2 linked regions of the Caenorhabditis elegans genome follow. The protein of the gene in region 1 interacts with the protein of each later gene in a pairwise test. Each region holds a gene or a part of one and is shown in the gene's direction. Other genes may lie near its edges.

Region 1 (6,979 bases):
AATAGACACCGAAAGGGTCGATACATACTAAAAACCCTTAGACGGAGGACTAGCTACCCTCCAATCATCGGCGAAGAAGAAAGAAGATTTAAATTGAGTGGCAACTTTCGGTGATTTCCTCAGGCCAGAGGAGACTTTGGCGGCTCTCTGCAAGATCAGGCATGACTATACGGTGTCAAACAAGAACTTGGGCGGACAATTCGAGTGGAGTTTGGACTACTTGTTTTGGTTTCCCTTCTTTTTTTTCCTTTTCCTTTTTACCAGACGCAAAGACTAATTTTTAGACGTTTTTTTTATATATATTTCCTTAAAATTGCCCCCCCCCCCCTCCTCACCCTACTCTTTGGTCGATCTGCCTCACAACCATATCCACCTTGGAGTCCTCCACTAAACCTACTCTACATTGTTGGGAACTCTTTCCCTTTCTACACCGGGGACTCTTGACCCGAAGGGGGACTCTTTACCCTGGGAACTCTTGGCCCAAAAACCTACAATACAGGGAACTCTTAGCCCTCACCGACATTCCTCTGCCAAAGGAATAATTAATAACTCACCCATATTAGGTAATATTTAATAATCCCCCCACTCATATTGGGTCATTACTTTCCTTATTTACTGTACCTTTATTTATTTATTTATTATTTGATTAATATTTATTTATTTATTTAATATTTATTTTATTAATTTATTTTTATTAATTTATTTAATTAATATTTATTTATTTAATTAATATTTATTTATTTATTTAATTAATATTTATTTATTCATTTAATTAATAATTAAATAATTAAATAAAACATTTCTGTAACTACGTGAAGCTTCTTGTACCTACTGGAATATTATTGGTATATGCTGAAAGAGCTTAAAATTTACTACAAAGTTTCTGAAAGACATTTCAAAAAAAGTTACTTTCAAAAGATTTATGAATTTTCAAAGTTTGGAAAATTCATCTATTTTTGCCTATAAATGGTAGTTTTCATTAAATAATAAAATACGCACTAAAAGGTAGGGCTGAAAATGTACTATTTCTGTAACTACGTGAAGCTTCTTGTACCTACTGGAATATTATTGGTATATGCTGAAAGACCTTAAAATTTACTACTCAGATAAACCGAACCACGCAGGCACCGCTCCAAACCACGCAGGCAACGCGTACAAACCACGCTCAAGAATGCCAGTCCCTGCGTGGTTTCAACGCGTTGCCTGCGTGGTTTGGAGGCGACACCTGCGTGGTCTTGCAGCAATGGCAGTTCGCAGCCCGCTCCTTCCCCTTCCTACCGTTTAACCATCTAAAACGCAAAGTACGAAAATCTCAAAAATAACAACAAAAAAAGGTGGGAAACAAAATTAAGTCCATTAGGCAGTTGTTTTCGTCCCAGTGATCAGTGTGATGGTGTGTCCTTTTCCTGGCTCATCTTTTTCCGTGCGTTCAAGCTGCAATATTATTGATTTTTGGAAATACAAATTGATAGAAGGGTGTTTACCATTTTTGATCCACCTGTCGGGAGAAAACATCGCCAAAATCCGCACTCGGGAACTGTCCTTCGAATCCGGCTACAACATGTAGAATATTGTGAAGAACGCCTGAAAATTTTTGTTTAAAAAAAAATTGGACAAGAATAGCTTACTGATAGGACAATTGAGAAGTCTTCCTTGAAGAATCTGATGATTCACCGAATTTGGGTGGACACTGAAGGTGTGGAGGAGCTCTGGAGGAATTGTCTGAAAAGTGAACTATTTTAACTACATCTGGATTTGGAGAATTTGTGCAGCTGCCAAACTTCTGTTCACCTTTGACTTGGAATTTTCCGCGATTTTCCTAAGCTCTTTGAAATCCCAGTCCATAGTTCGAACGAACGATTCCGAAGGTTTTTTCTGAAATTTTGTTGCTATATATTTTTTAAAAATAAAGTTTATCTTACGTTGAAGCGACCAATCGAATGCGGCGCCTCCAGTCCATTGCCACGCCGCTTTCGGCCTCCTTTTGGGGTTTTTCGGGCCGGGGTTGACATATTTACCTGAAAACAATTATTGAGTTTCATGAAGAAATTGAAAATTAATATAAAAGTGCTTTTTGCAAGAAAAAAAACGGAAAATTCCATTAAATTAGGAAAAAAAAATAGAAGAAAAAGTTGTCCAAGAGGAGTACGCAGCCATTGGCCTAGGAATCCCGCGCGTGGCTGAACGTTGGCTGCCTGCATGGTATGTAGGCGTCACCTGCGTGGTTTTGCAGCCACTGCCAATAGCTGCCCACCGTCAAGTCGCCTGCGTGGTTCCTAGGCGTCACCTGCGTGCTTTTGGTTGCCTGCGTGGTCTTGACGCGTTGACTGCGTGGTGGGCAGTCACCTGCGTGGTTTGGAGCGGTGCCTGCGTGGTTCGATTTATCTGAGTACTCTAACTTGGGCATTTATTTGAATTATATTTGAAGTATATTCGGAAATTTTTCTTTTTTTGAACATTGAAACACATTGAAATAAAATAAAATAAAGTTTGCCAGAAATTTCAATTCCAGTAATTTGTTGATTTGCCTGAAAGCTAATATATATCGAAATGTATACATTACCCGTAATCAAAACATTTTGAAGTAACAGTATTCTGTTATTCTATCCGTTTTCTCTTCACTTTTCTCTCCCGATCAACTCACTCAATGTGCCCTCTTCCTACATTACACTTTTACGCACTCTAACACTCTCTGAGCCGATAGTTTTATTCAATCGAAATGTTCGCTTATTCAACGTCTTCAATTACCGGATCAACTCTTTCAGTTAGATCGTTTTCCAGTGACACGACAATTTCCAATGCGTTTTTCAATTTGCCTCAGGTAAAGTTGTTGCAAAATATATTGATTTATTGTTATTTCTACTTTTAACCAATGTTTTTCAATTTAAAAAATTTTGAATTGAGCATATTAGCGCTGATTTTTGTTTTTTTTTAATTTAATATTTGAAAATAGCCTGTCAATTTATAAAAAATCTATGCTTTATATTTATTAAAGATATTAGCCAGACGGGAAATTTTGCAATTTTTATGTGTTTTGCGCGAAAAATACGGTAGTTCTTGGTCTCAAAACGACAATTTTTCGTTGCATGGAAACGGGTGCTCTCCTTTAAAGAGTACTGTAATTCTAAACTTTTGTCGCTGCGGCATTTTATTCGACTTTTCATTGTTTTTCTTAAAATTTATGTGTTTTAATTGTTTTACTTCAGTTTTTTACAAAATAAAAACAGCCTTTTTTAACGAAGAACTATGAAAAAACGATGAAAACCCTGCAACAACGAAAGTTCGAAATTACAGTACTCTTTAAAGGCGCGCCCTGGTTTGAATATAACAAAAAAAAAGTCGTGTCGAGACCAGGAACCGTATTTTTGGCGCAAAAATCGCAAAATGTTGGGTATGAGTATAAAATAAAACACCGTGACCACTGGCTTGAGCCACGTGTACGGTATTTAGCTGAAAAGTTTCGATCGTGTCAGGACTCAAGACTGTTCTTTTGGGGGAAAACCCGAAATTTTCGTGGGCAGCTGGTACTCTTCTTTCTGGATTTAATCCGGATTTTGACAGAAAATGTTTTCTCGACGATTTTATTGAAAATTTCCATCTGTTTCCCAAACTTTCTCCAATTTTTTTGAAATTCTTGAATTCAGTATAATTATTATTCAGTTGAATATGCAAATTTTGTTATTAAAACAATTGAAATATTTGTTTTATTCACTTTTTGAGCAGATCTTTTTTTCAGAGCAATTTCCGTCAACGTCTGCAAGCGAAAAAACGAAGTCCGAAAAGAGTCAGCAAGCGCGCTCCATTGAGAACGCATCCTCCAATTCCACGACAGGTTTTTCCACTTTTCTCTTCTTTTTTTCCCGTTTTTTTTCATTTATTTTATGTTAAAATTCAGAAAATAAAGAAAAATATTTAGAAATAAATAAATTAAATTAAAAAATGCATTTAATTATCATTTATATTCGCTCAACAACACGACAATCCCATTTTCCGCTCACTGCCACGTGTAGCTTTGCAGATGTCGCTGTTTCGGAACTTTTTTGGCGGCGGACAGCAAGATGAAGACGAGGATAATGGAGCTGAATATGTAGAAACACTTGTGGAACGAGCAGAAACTTGTACGGCACCAGAAGACCGTCGAGATGCGTTGAGAGGGCTGAAAGGTGTCGCAAAGGTGAGAGAAAAAATCATTTGAACTATTAAAATTAAACAATTAAAATTAAACGTGTAATTTCAGAAATATCGATTAGCCGTCGGAACAATGGGAATGAATGCATTCATTGACGTGCTTGAAACAGATCGCATGAACACCGAAGCCATGACAATTGTGCTCGACACGATGGCAATCGTTTTGTCAACAGACGACGATTCTTCAGAATCCGATGAATTAGGAGAACGATTAGCCGAAGTGATGATTAAACGAAAAGGCTTCATTTCTTCAGTTTTATGCGCCGTTGAACAATTCGATATTGGAGTTCGAAGGTTTTTATTCCGAAATTAACGAGAAAAAAATCAAGATGCTTTAAAAAATTCACTAATTTCAGCTAAAATCTCCAATTTCGTCAACTTATCGGTGTCACAACAACCGCAAATTAATTTTCTTTTTAATTTATCCGTATTTTCTCCGATTGAGATACATTTTCAGGCCAAAGGCACTGAATAAGGGGCCTATCGACTGAAAATTCCTCAAAAAACGGCAAAATATGATTATAATTGAATTAAATCGATTTCCGGCTGTTGCGAGACAATCTTCGAAATTAAAAACACCTGATGTTAGGCAAAATCCCCAATTTTGCTCCTTTTTTTGCGTTACAACAGTATAAATACAGTCTTTATTGCATTTTTTTTTTGGTTTGGTATCCGATTTTTTATTATCTTTGGTGTTTGCTTTTAATAACGAAATAACGTGAGATCAAATAAAATATGAAAATTCGATAAAAACTGCATTGCAGCAGTCCTAACGCGGAAAAATTGATAAAATTGGAGATTTTAACTGAAATTAGCCCGTTTTTCAGAAATTTTGAGAATTATATCTTCAAAATTAGTGTATTTTGGCGCATTTTTAATTTTTACGAGCAAAAATTCCCCCGAATCCTCCTTTAAGGAAGATTTCGGACGATTTTGAACGTATACCCCCAAAAATGGGCTCAAATAATCGAACTTCGTATTGAAACTGCTCGAAAATGTTTGAAAAACTTTTTATGGCGGTTCAAAATTTCGAAAAAATACACTGATTTTAGCTAAAATCTCGAATTTTGGCCTTTTCTCCGTGTCGCAGCGGTTCGAAGTTGACTTTTTTGGAATTCTCGTCCTTTATTGAATATTTTGGTACTTTATCTCATATTATTTCGTTTGTTAAAGTACATTTAAAGACGATAGGTAACCGTTTTTTATGATTTTTGGCTACTTATAGGCTTTAAATGTACTTTAATAAACGAAATTAAATGATATAAACTACCAAAATATGCAAAAAAAGGATGACAATTCCAAAAAAGTCAATTTCGGACAGCTGGAACACGGAAAAATGGCCGAAGTTCGAGCATTTAGCTAAAATCAGTGTAATTATATAATATTTCGAAATTTTGAACCGGCATAAAAAATACAAAATTTTGAAAATTTCTTGAGCAGTTCTATTACGAAATTCGTCCATTTGAGCTCATTTTTGAGTCTTTACGAGCAAAAACCCCCCGAATCCTTCTATAAATTATTTCAAAAATCTGTATTTTACTATTTCAGAACTGCAATTCAGCTGATTTCAAACCTGCTTCGTCATCGTGGAACAGAAGTTCAAAAAGCCGTAATGGAGCATCCTCAAGGAATCGCAAAGCTCGTCGACGTTATTCATGATAATCGAGAAATTATTCGAAACGAAGCAATTTTAATGATTTGTGAATTGAGCAGAGCCAACTCGCAGGTTCAACAGCTTCTCGCGTATGATAATATATTTCTCGATCTTCTAAATATTATTGAAACCGAGCCCCTTGACAGTGAGCGGCTAATCAATTTTAAACATTTTATTTATTTTATTCTATGTTTTCAGGCATTGTCATCGAAGATTGCATGTTTGTAATGCTTAATTTATTGAGAAAACATGCGATGAATCAGCAAATATTCAGAGAAGATCAGTGAGTGAAAATTGGAATTTAATACACAAAAATTGCATCTAAAAAATCGAAAACCACTCAAAATGGCAAAATTTTGCTTGAATCTGAATTTTTCGCGACTTGTCTCTCACGGAAATCGATTTTTTATCAATTATTCCGCATTTTTTTGGTATTTATTCTGTATTTTGGTATGTATCCTTTGAAAATGCGAAATAAAATACTAAAATATGCAGAAAAATGTGAAAATTTTGACAAAAAATCGATCTCCGGCAGCAAATTTCCAGATTTTAGCTCAATTTAATTACTTTTTCGAGTTTTAGACAAATATCATTATGAAATTTAGTATTTTTTACGAAAAAACTCAAAATTACTCCTTTTTTGCGATTTTCGCGCCAACACGTGTTTTCAGCTCGACCATTCGGTGTAATTTGTGCAAACACCGTGACGCGCAAATGCAGACATTTTTGCACGCGCTGCGGTGAAATTCCTCTTGGGAAATTTAAATATTTTTTCCCGCCTTTTTTTAAAATTTTCGAGGCGTTGGTCGAGCTGAATACACGTGCGCCAAAAAGACGATACTCGGTCTCGACACGACAAATTTATGTTGTCTGCGAAAATGCGTGCGCCTTTAAAGATTTCTGTAATTTTAAACTTTCGAGAATAATTATAATTTGAAATTACAAGAATAATTTGAAATTACAGTACTCTTTAAAGGCGCACACCTTTTTGCATTTAGCAAAAGTTGATCGTGTCGAGACCAAAAGTGGCGGTTTTTCAATTTTTTTTACAAAATCGAAATACGAAAGATTTTCGATTTTTTTCGCTTTTTCCAAAAATATATTAAAATTTTAGTCATTTATCTCCTTTTTAGAAGA
Region 2 (6,897 bases), on another chromosome or scaffold:
AAGTCTAGCAGTGATCGTGCGAGCGTAATAGAAAAAATAGGGTATTTAACTTTTTAAAAAAGGTGTTTCCAAACTGTGCAAACTTTCAATAAGCTTCTGACCAACGATGAACCATATCTCCGAAAAATGGGCTTCAACTCCTTCTCCTCGCTTTCCGAACCTTTGTTGTTTGCCTTCGCGTCAGGAGCGGGGGCGGGAAAATAGGTCAAAACTGTCAAAAATTTGTATATTTTGTGTGTTATGTGAGTGCGTGTCTATGAGCTAATCATCAAATTTGATAGATTTTACGATTTTTTCTTCAGTTTTCAGATGTTTTGCCGTTACTCTGATCAGAGATCAAACTACATAGTGACGTAACGACACGCGCTTTATATATAGTAAATTGATTTTTATTAAAAATTTGAATAACTTGCAAGTTTATGTATAATGGTGAAACGTTTTTTTTCTGTAGATATATATTAACAATTTTTAGACTGTAGATCTCTACAATGAAATGATAATTTTTAAACTGGTTCAATCCAGTGAGCATTTACCAATCTACAAAAGCCTCGAAGCATTATGCATTCTAAAATTTACCTTTTAAAGAATTTTTATTTCGATACGAAATTTGAAAATAAATATAATCTATAGTAATTCTTCTCTCTAATTCCCTTGTTCGATGCTCCCACTAATCTTTTCGGGTATGGTGCTGCGACCTCTGTAGTAACCGAAAACTTAAACCGAACAGCCAACACAGAGACTCCTTTTCTAATGATCTTCCATCACTTTTTTAAGAGAAACTATCTCCTCCTAAAGAAATAGTATATGTTCTCGAGAGATTATAGAGAACAAATAGCAGGAAGAACAATTGGAAGTAAAAGAGAGAAGCAGAGACTTCTCAAATAATACAATATTGTTCTTTTCTAACAGTTAGTTTCTTCAACTTTTTTTCTTTTTTTCTAACTTATTTAAAACTTATTCTCCGATAAAGAGAAATAGAGTAGAGAGGGACGAGAGAAAGAAGAAGCTTCTCGCGCAATCAACCACTTCAGATCTCACTTTTTTGGGTTAAGGCTCACAAGTTTTTGTGTGTAGATAATGGTTTGCGCTCATTAGGTGAAAAGAGATTCAAGAGTACGGTTGATTGGTTCAATTGGAAGACTCATATAAAATGAAATAGAAAGTGTTCTAGACTGATCAAAGATTTTGCTTTACTTGCTTAGATGATTTATAGTAAACTTAGTATATAGAAAACCCTAAAGGTTGATAATGTTTTTGTTCAAAGTTAATATTTTAATATGAGTTTAGTTTTTTACCGGCCTGCTATTTTTAGACTTTAAGATTTCAAGTCAAAAATGGTTGAGAATCAGAGCTATCAATAAAAATTTAACTATCTCTAATGTATGCCGGAAAGTCTGAGCCTAATCCTAAGCCTCATTCCTCATCTAACTAGTTATACAAATCCCAGCTAGTATATAATTACCGCTCTAAGACTGTTATCTGTTAGAAAGGCACTGATATAGTTTGAATATTGTAAGCATTTAGGAATTTGCCTTGCTAGGCAACCACTAATGAAATTGGAAAATAAAAATTTGCCCTGCAAGGCCTTCCATCTCTATTGTTCTAGTACTATGAGCAACCTCCTAGACACCTAAACAATCAAAAAGGATCTCCAAAATCCACTTTTTCTCTACGTCTCATAATATTTCCCACAAAATTTACAAACATTTTGAGTGCTGTTCTGCCTAGTTTTTGTTCGAACAAAAAGTTCGCCTTGTTCCTCCAAGTAAAAGTTCAAACATATGTGTTCGTTGGAAGAGTAATCACGTTTTTCTTTACTCATCTCTCGCTCCTGGTACTTTATTAACTAGAACCAGTTTTCGTGCCGAGACCCTCCTCCGCTCATCATTTTTCTATTTTCTCTCTCTTTTCTGTGCATTCCGTACTGTCCTCTGTGAACTTTCTTGTCCACTGTGCTCATTTTTTGGTTTCATTTTTGTGAAATATTTTAAACAATTGGTTTAAAGAATGTTATCATTCAACAACACAACATCTGCATCTAGTTTTCAATCTGCTTCATCAAGATATTTAATGTCATCATCATCATCAATTGGACCACCACAACAACAATCTGCAAAACTATTTCCTGAGCATTTCTATCCAAGTGGACTAAGTCCAAGACAGTCGGAAGCTCTCGAACGATTGCGACCCAATACGGCGTCGCGCGAACGAAATATTCCGATTCAATTTACCGGAAAGAATCCAACAACAAATTCAGCTCTTGAGGAGTATAAACCAGTACCACACGTACAAGTTACATCTCCAAAGTCTTCAATTGTTCCGAATTTTGTTTCCGAGCAACGCGGGCTTCAGCCTCAACCAACATCTCAAGCTCCAACCAATTATCGGCAATTCGTGGCTGCACCACGATCGCCACGTGGATATGGAGACTATCCAGAAATGACGGGAAAAGCTTCTGCTGCTGGGGATTCAGAGCCTGTTCAAATCCCAATAAAAACTCAAACTCCAATTACACAAGCTCGTGCTCAAGAAACTAAAATTCCAACAATTGTGTCACCACACCCTGTTTATTATTATGACAATCAGGAGCAACCAATTCAACAAATTCGAGGTTTTTTTGTTTTTCTTTGCGTCTTAACTAATATCTCAAATTTTATTTGAGATAACTGTGTGCTGTCTTAGTCTTTGTCCCATGTCCAGACACTTATTACTGATAACCAGTTTTTTCGGAAATCAAAAAAAAGCAACAGTTATCAAAAATCAGAGAAATCACTTCAAACTTAACCGCTCCTATATTCAAATTTTCGTTTATTTTCAGAGGAGCAACCAAATGCCACCATGGAGACCAAAGTCACCGGACAAGGTCAGCCAAAGCGTGTCGGACGCTGGACATTGGCTCAACTCCGTCAAACTGACGGAATTATTCCAAGCCAGGCCGGATGGAACAAGGGAGACTCACAAAAGTTGATGACCAACTTCGGAACACCAAGAAACACTAACACTCGTGTCAAGTCTGAGAACCTTCAGGTATGGAAATTTTATGGTCAGATTTACTTGGGTATGTGGAAGAATTTATTTTAATAGAAGCAAAATCTAGGTCACCGTTTATGTTATTTGTCTTTAAGGATACAAAACTTCAAAGGTTCTTACTCACTTTATCTCTTCTGAAATGAAAAAAATCTTTAAATGTCATTTCTTGGTACCTCCACAATTTGTTTCATTCAACGTCAAGTATTTAAAGGAATTCCAAAATTTTCAAATATAAATTTTCCAGGAAATCCCAGAAGATATTGCCAACCGAACCCATGGAGAAGTTCGTCTTCAATCCGGAACCAACAAATATTGCTCCCAGAGAGGAATGACCGGATTCGGATCCGGACGTGATGTGTGCCGTGAGGGAGTCCGTGTCGCTCAGAACCCAGCTGACTTGGCTGTAAGTTACTTTTACATAGTAGCTCTGTAACCTTTCATCACTTCAGTAAAAAAAAGTGACAGAAACAAAATAAATTATTTCTCTAATTTCCCACATTTCTGTTCCAATGTGTGTGGAACGTCTTATAGATTACGGTATTTTTTTCTGTGAACTTAGAGTAACGGATGAACAAATACTTGATTTAAAGATCAGGGATATTCTTTTGTGAACGCAAATAAACAATAATTAACATATATATATTTTTTTACAGGAGCTTCCAGAAGAAAAGATCCGTATGTCCGAGGGAATTGTCCGTCTTCAAGCCGGTACCAACAAATATGATTCTCAAAAGGGAATGACCGGATTCGGAACTGGACGTCGTGAGACAACTAAGATGGTTGACTCAAAGCATCCAGAATACGATCACGAGAAACCAGATCAATCTGAAATTCCACTTCAGTCTGGAACAAACAAATTCGCTTCACAAAAGGGAATGACCGGTTTCGGAACTGCTCGTCGTGAGACCACAAAGATGGTTGATTCTAACCATCCAGATTACTCTCATGAATGTTCCATTGATCAAACCACAATTCCATCTCAGATGGGATCTAATCAATATGCTTCACAGAAGGGTATGACTGGATTCGGACAGCCACGTTGGGAAGTTCTCGACCCATCAATCTCATGGCAAAACCGTAAATCCCAGGGAATGGTCCGTCTTCAATCTGGTACCAACCGTTTTGCTTCTCAAGCTGTAAGTTTTCTTTAGATTATTTATAGAATTTAAATAAATAAAATTCATTTTCAGGGTATGATTGGCTTCGGAACATGCAGAAACACAACATTCGAGGCTGAAGGAGGAGAGCTTCCATATGAGGCAATGAAGGTGTCTGAGACCATCATTCCAAGTCAAGCTGGATGGAACAAGGGAGACTCACAGAAGGTTTGTCGATTGTTAATAACATATAACGGAACCCTTGATTATGACATTCTAGTGTATCCTGAATTTGTCCTGTATTCAGAAACTATTTGTAGATTCTCGCGAATTTCTATCACCAACGTGTTTAATTCTATAATTCCCTAAGTCCGAGGTCTTGACACGATCGGATATTTTAAAATTAAGCCTGTGCCTTTGAGAGTAGAACTTGTGTAACTTTTCCGCTAGGAATATTTTTAATAGTAGGGGTGTCAATAAGTTCCGGGTCAAAATTCATAACTTTTTTCGTGGCGAATCGATTTTTCTGAAAATGTGGGAATTTATGTGATCAAACATGGTCTTTCATTTGACGGTACTTTCAAAAAGTTTTGACCACTCCATGTATCCCAGCTCGGAGACACTTTTTTCAGGCGTATGCCTGATCTCGCTTCTTTGTAACTTTCAATTGAGACTTATGTGCGGATTTTGATTAATTAAGTATACAATGTAAAAATACAATAAAAATTTAAGAAACAATTGGTTCAAAAAAAATTTTTTTTTGGTTCGTCAAAAAATCCTCGAAAAAATTTTTGTCGAAAGTTCTTGATTTTTTGTACAGGAATGATGCAACCAAGTCTGAACAATTTTTAACACACAAAACTTTTGAAACGTGATTTTTATGATTTTTTAGTCCATTTTTTGAAATTTTTGAGAATTTCTCTAAATCTAAATGTTAAATTCAAAAGTTTTGTGTGTTAAATTGTTCAGACTTGGTTGCATCATTCCTGTACAAAAAATCAAGAACTTTCGACAAAAATTTTTTCGAGGATTTTTTGACAAACCAAAAAAAATTTTTTTTTGAACCAATTTTTTCTTAAATTTTTATTGTATTTTTACATTGTATACTTAATTAATCAAAATCCGCACATAAGTCTCAATTGAAAGTTACAAAGAAGCGAGATCAGGCATACGCCTGAAAAAAGTGTCTCCGAGCTGGGATACATGGAGTGGTCAAAACTTTTTGAAAGTACCGTCAAATGAAAGACCATGTTTGATCACATAAATTCCCACATTTTCAGAAAAATCGATTCGCCACGAAAAAAGTTATGAATTTTGACCCGGAACTTATTGACACCCCTAATAGAAACCTAAAATGGTAGAAAAACCGTTACTGTATTATTCAAAGGCGCATACCTTTTTGCAAACATTTTTGCGCGGCCTCGATTTTCAAAATATTTCGATCGTGGCGAGAGCAGGTACCGTATTATCAAATTATGTGCAAGTTGATTTTAAAAAAACATATAAATACATTCTAAAAAGAAGAAAAATGACCAAACTTTTAAGTTTAAAACTACGATTTCCTTTAAAAAAAAACAAATTATTGAAACAAATTCTAATTTTTCATAATTTTTCAGAAGATGACATCATTCGGAGCACCACGTGACGTTAAGGGCAAGCACTTGAAGAGAATCTGGGAGCTTGAATACCCAGAAGAGGCTGAAATCTCTTTGGATCGTCTCTAAATCATTTTTCTCCGTGTTTTTTTTTCTTTCGTAAATTACATGATACCTGTGCATAATTTGCTTCAACTTCTTCTCCAAATGTTTCTTCTTATTCTTCAAAAAAAACTACTTTTTTGTTTGTTCTCCATCCCATTTCCCTGCTTTCCTTCCTATTCTTTTCACACCCAAACAAGTTCATCATATAAATTTGAAATTTTTCGATTGTTTTCTTTTTTGCGTAAGTTGCAGCCAAAAATGAGCAATTTTAGCGAAGAATTATTCTTGTTATTTTAAACCACTTGCATTTAGTTTTCTAAATGAAATTCACAGAGATGCGACAAGCCATAGATTTACTTAAAAATATATGTTTATTCTATGAAAACCCGTACGGAACTTTCAGGCAATATACTAAAAATTTAACAAAAAATTAAAAAATTAGTTCGTGTTCAGGGCGTTCAGTTTTTCCATCATATTGTCATTGAGAGCCTTCCAGAATAGACCTTCTTCGCATTCGATGTCTGTTGTGAAGAATACCTGCAAATATTTTAATGAATACATTATTTGATTTCTCGATTTTTAAGCCAAAGGTTATTTTTTACAAAAAAAGGTTTTTAAAAATGTGTGGAGTTTTGTTCTTTTCATATAATTTATTTTTCATTACCGCGGAAGTAGTCACACCCATTTAAGCAAAAGTGGCCTTATTTTAATTTTCGAAAAAAATTATTTTCAGCGAAAATTTTGTTACGAAAATTATTTTCTGCCTAAAAATTATAATTGCGACATGATCATCAATTATAACTTTTTGTTCATAATTTCCAAGCTAATATTACACAATATTTGAGAAAATACTTGAAATACGGAATTTTTTAGAATAAATTCAATCTCTCAAAAACAAAATGTTGTTTTTTTTTGGTTTTTCTGGTTGCATCGGTTTCAGATAAAAATGAGAATTTCCTCGAGTTTTTTATTTCGAAATGAACGTTTTTTCAAAAATACCTGTGTGAATCTCGATGTTTTTGTTAACCGAAGAGTAGTTGATTTAATGAATTCTCGTTGCGTATTCTCTC

What was found. Proteins that work in one complex are often made in the same cells at the same time.
Region 2: the proteins of uso-1 (region 1) and unc-87 interact in a two-hybrid assay, tested with the Caenorhabditis elegans proteins (2 studies listed by BioGRID).

Annotation. Positions count from the first base shown.
Region 1 is NC_003282.8:13,450,539-13,457,517, reverse strand, and holds the start of uso-1 (Uso1_p115_head domain-containing protein), read left to right. Parts: upstream 1-2,719; coding exon 2,720-2,821; intron 2,822-3,736; coding exon 3,737-3,832; intron 3,833-4,018; coding exon 4,019-4,174; intron 4,175-4,237; coding exon 4,238-4,482; intron 4,483-5,736; coding exon 5,737-5,987; intron 5,988-6,040; coding exon 6,041-6,125; intron 6,126-6,979. Other genes in the region: Y38H8A.7 (uncharacterized protein), read right to left, coding at 1,383-1,434, 1,485-1,584, 1,629-1,722, 1,792-1,875, 1,923-2,012.
Region 2 is NC_003279.8:6,760,721-6,767,617, reverse strand, and holds unc-87 (Protein unc-87), read left to right. Parts: upstream 1-1,927; 5' UTR 1,928-2,007; coding exon 2,008-2,611; intron 2,612-2,818; coding exon 2,819-3,027; intron 3,028-3,274; coding exon 3,275-3,433; intron 3,434-3,683; coding exon 3,684-4,166; intron 4,167-4,220; coding exon 4,221-4,355; intron 4,356-5,743; coding exon 5,744-5,851; 3' UTR 5,852-6,265; coding exon of another isoform or gene 6,266-6,364; 3' UTR 6,365-6,397; downstream 6,398-6,897. Other genes in the region: F08B6.1 (BPH_3 domain-containing protein), read right to left, coding at 6,266-6,364, 6,827-6,897. UniProt on the Caenorhabditis elegans protein: Thin filament-associated protein that is implicated in actin bundling and actin filament dynamics. Exhibits F-actin cross-linking activity. Required for the maintenance of sarcomeric actin organization in striated muscles.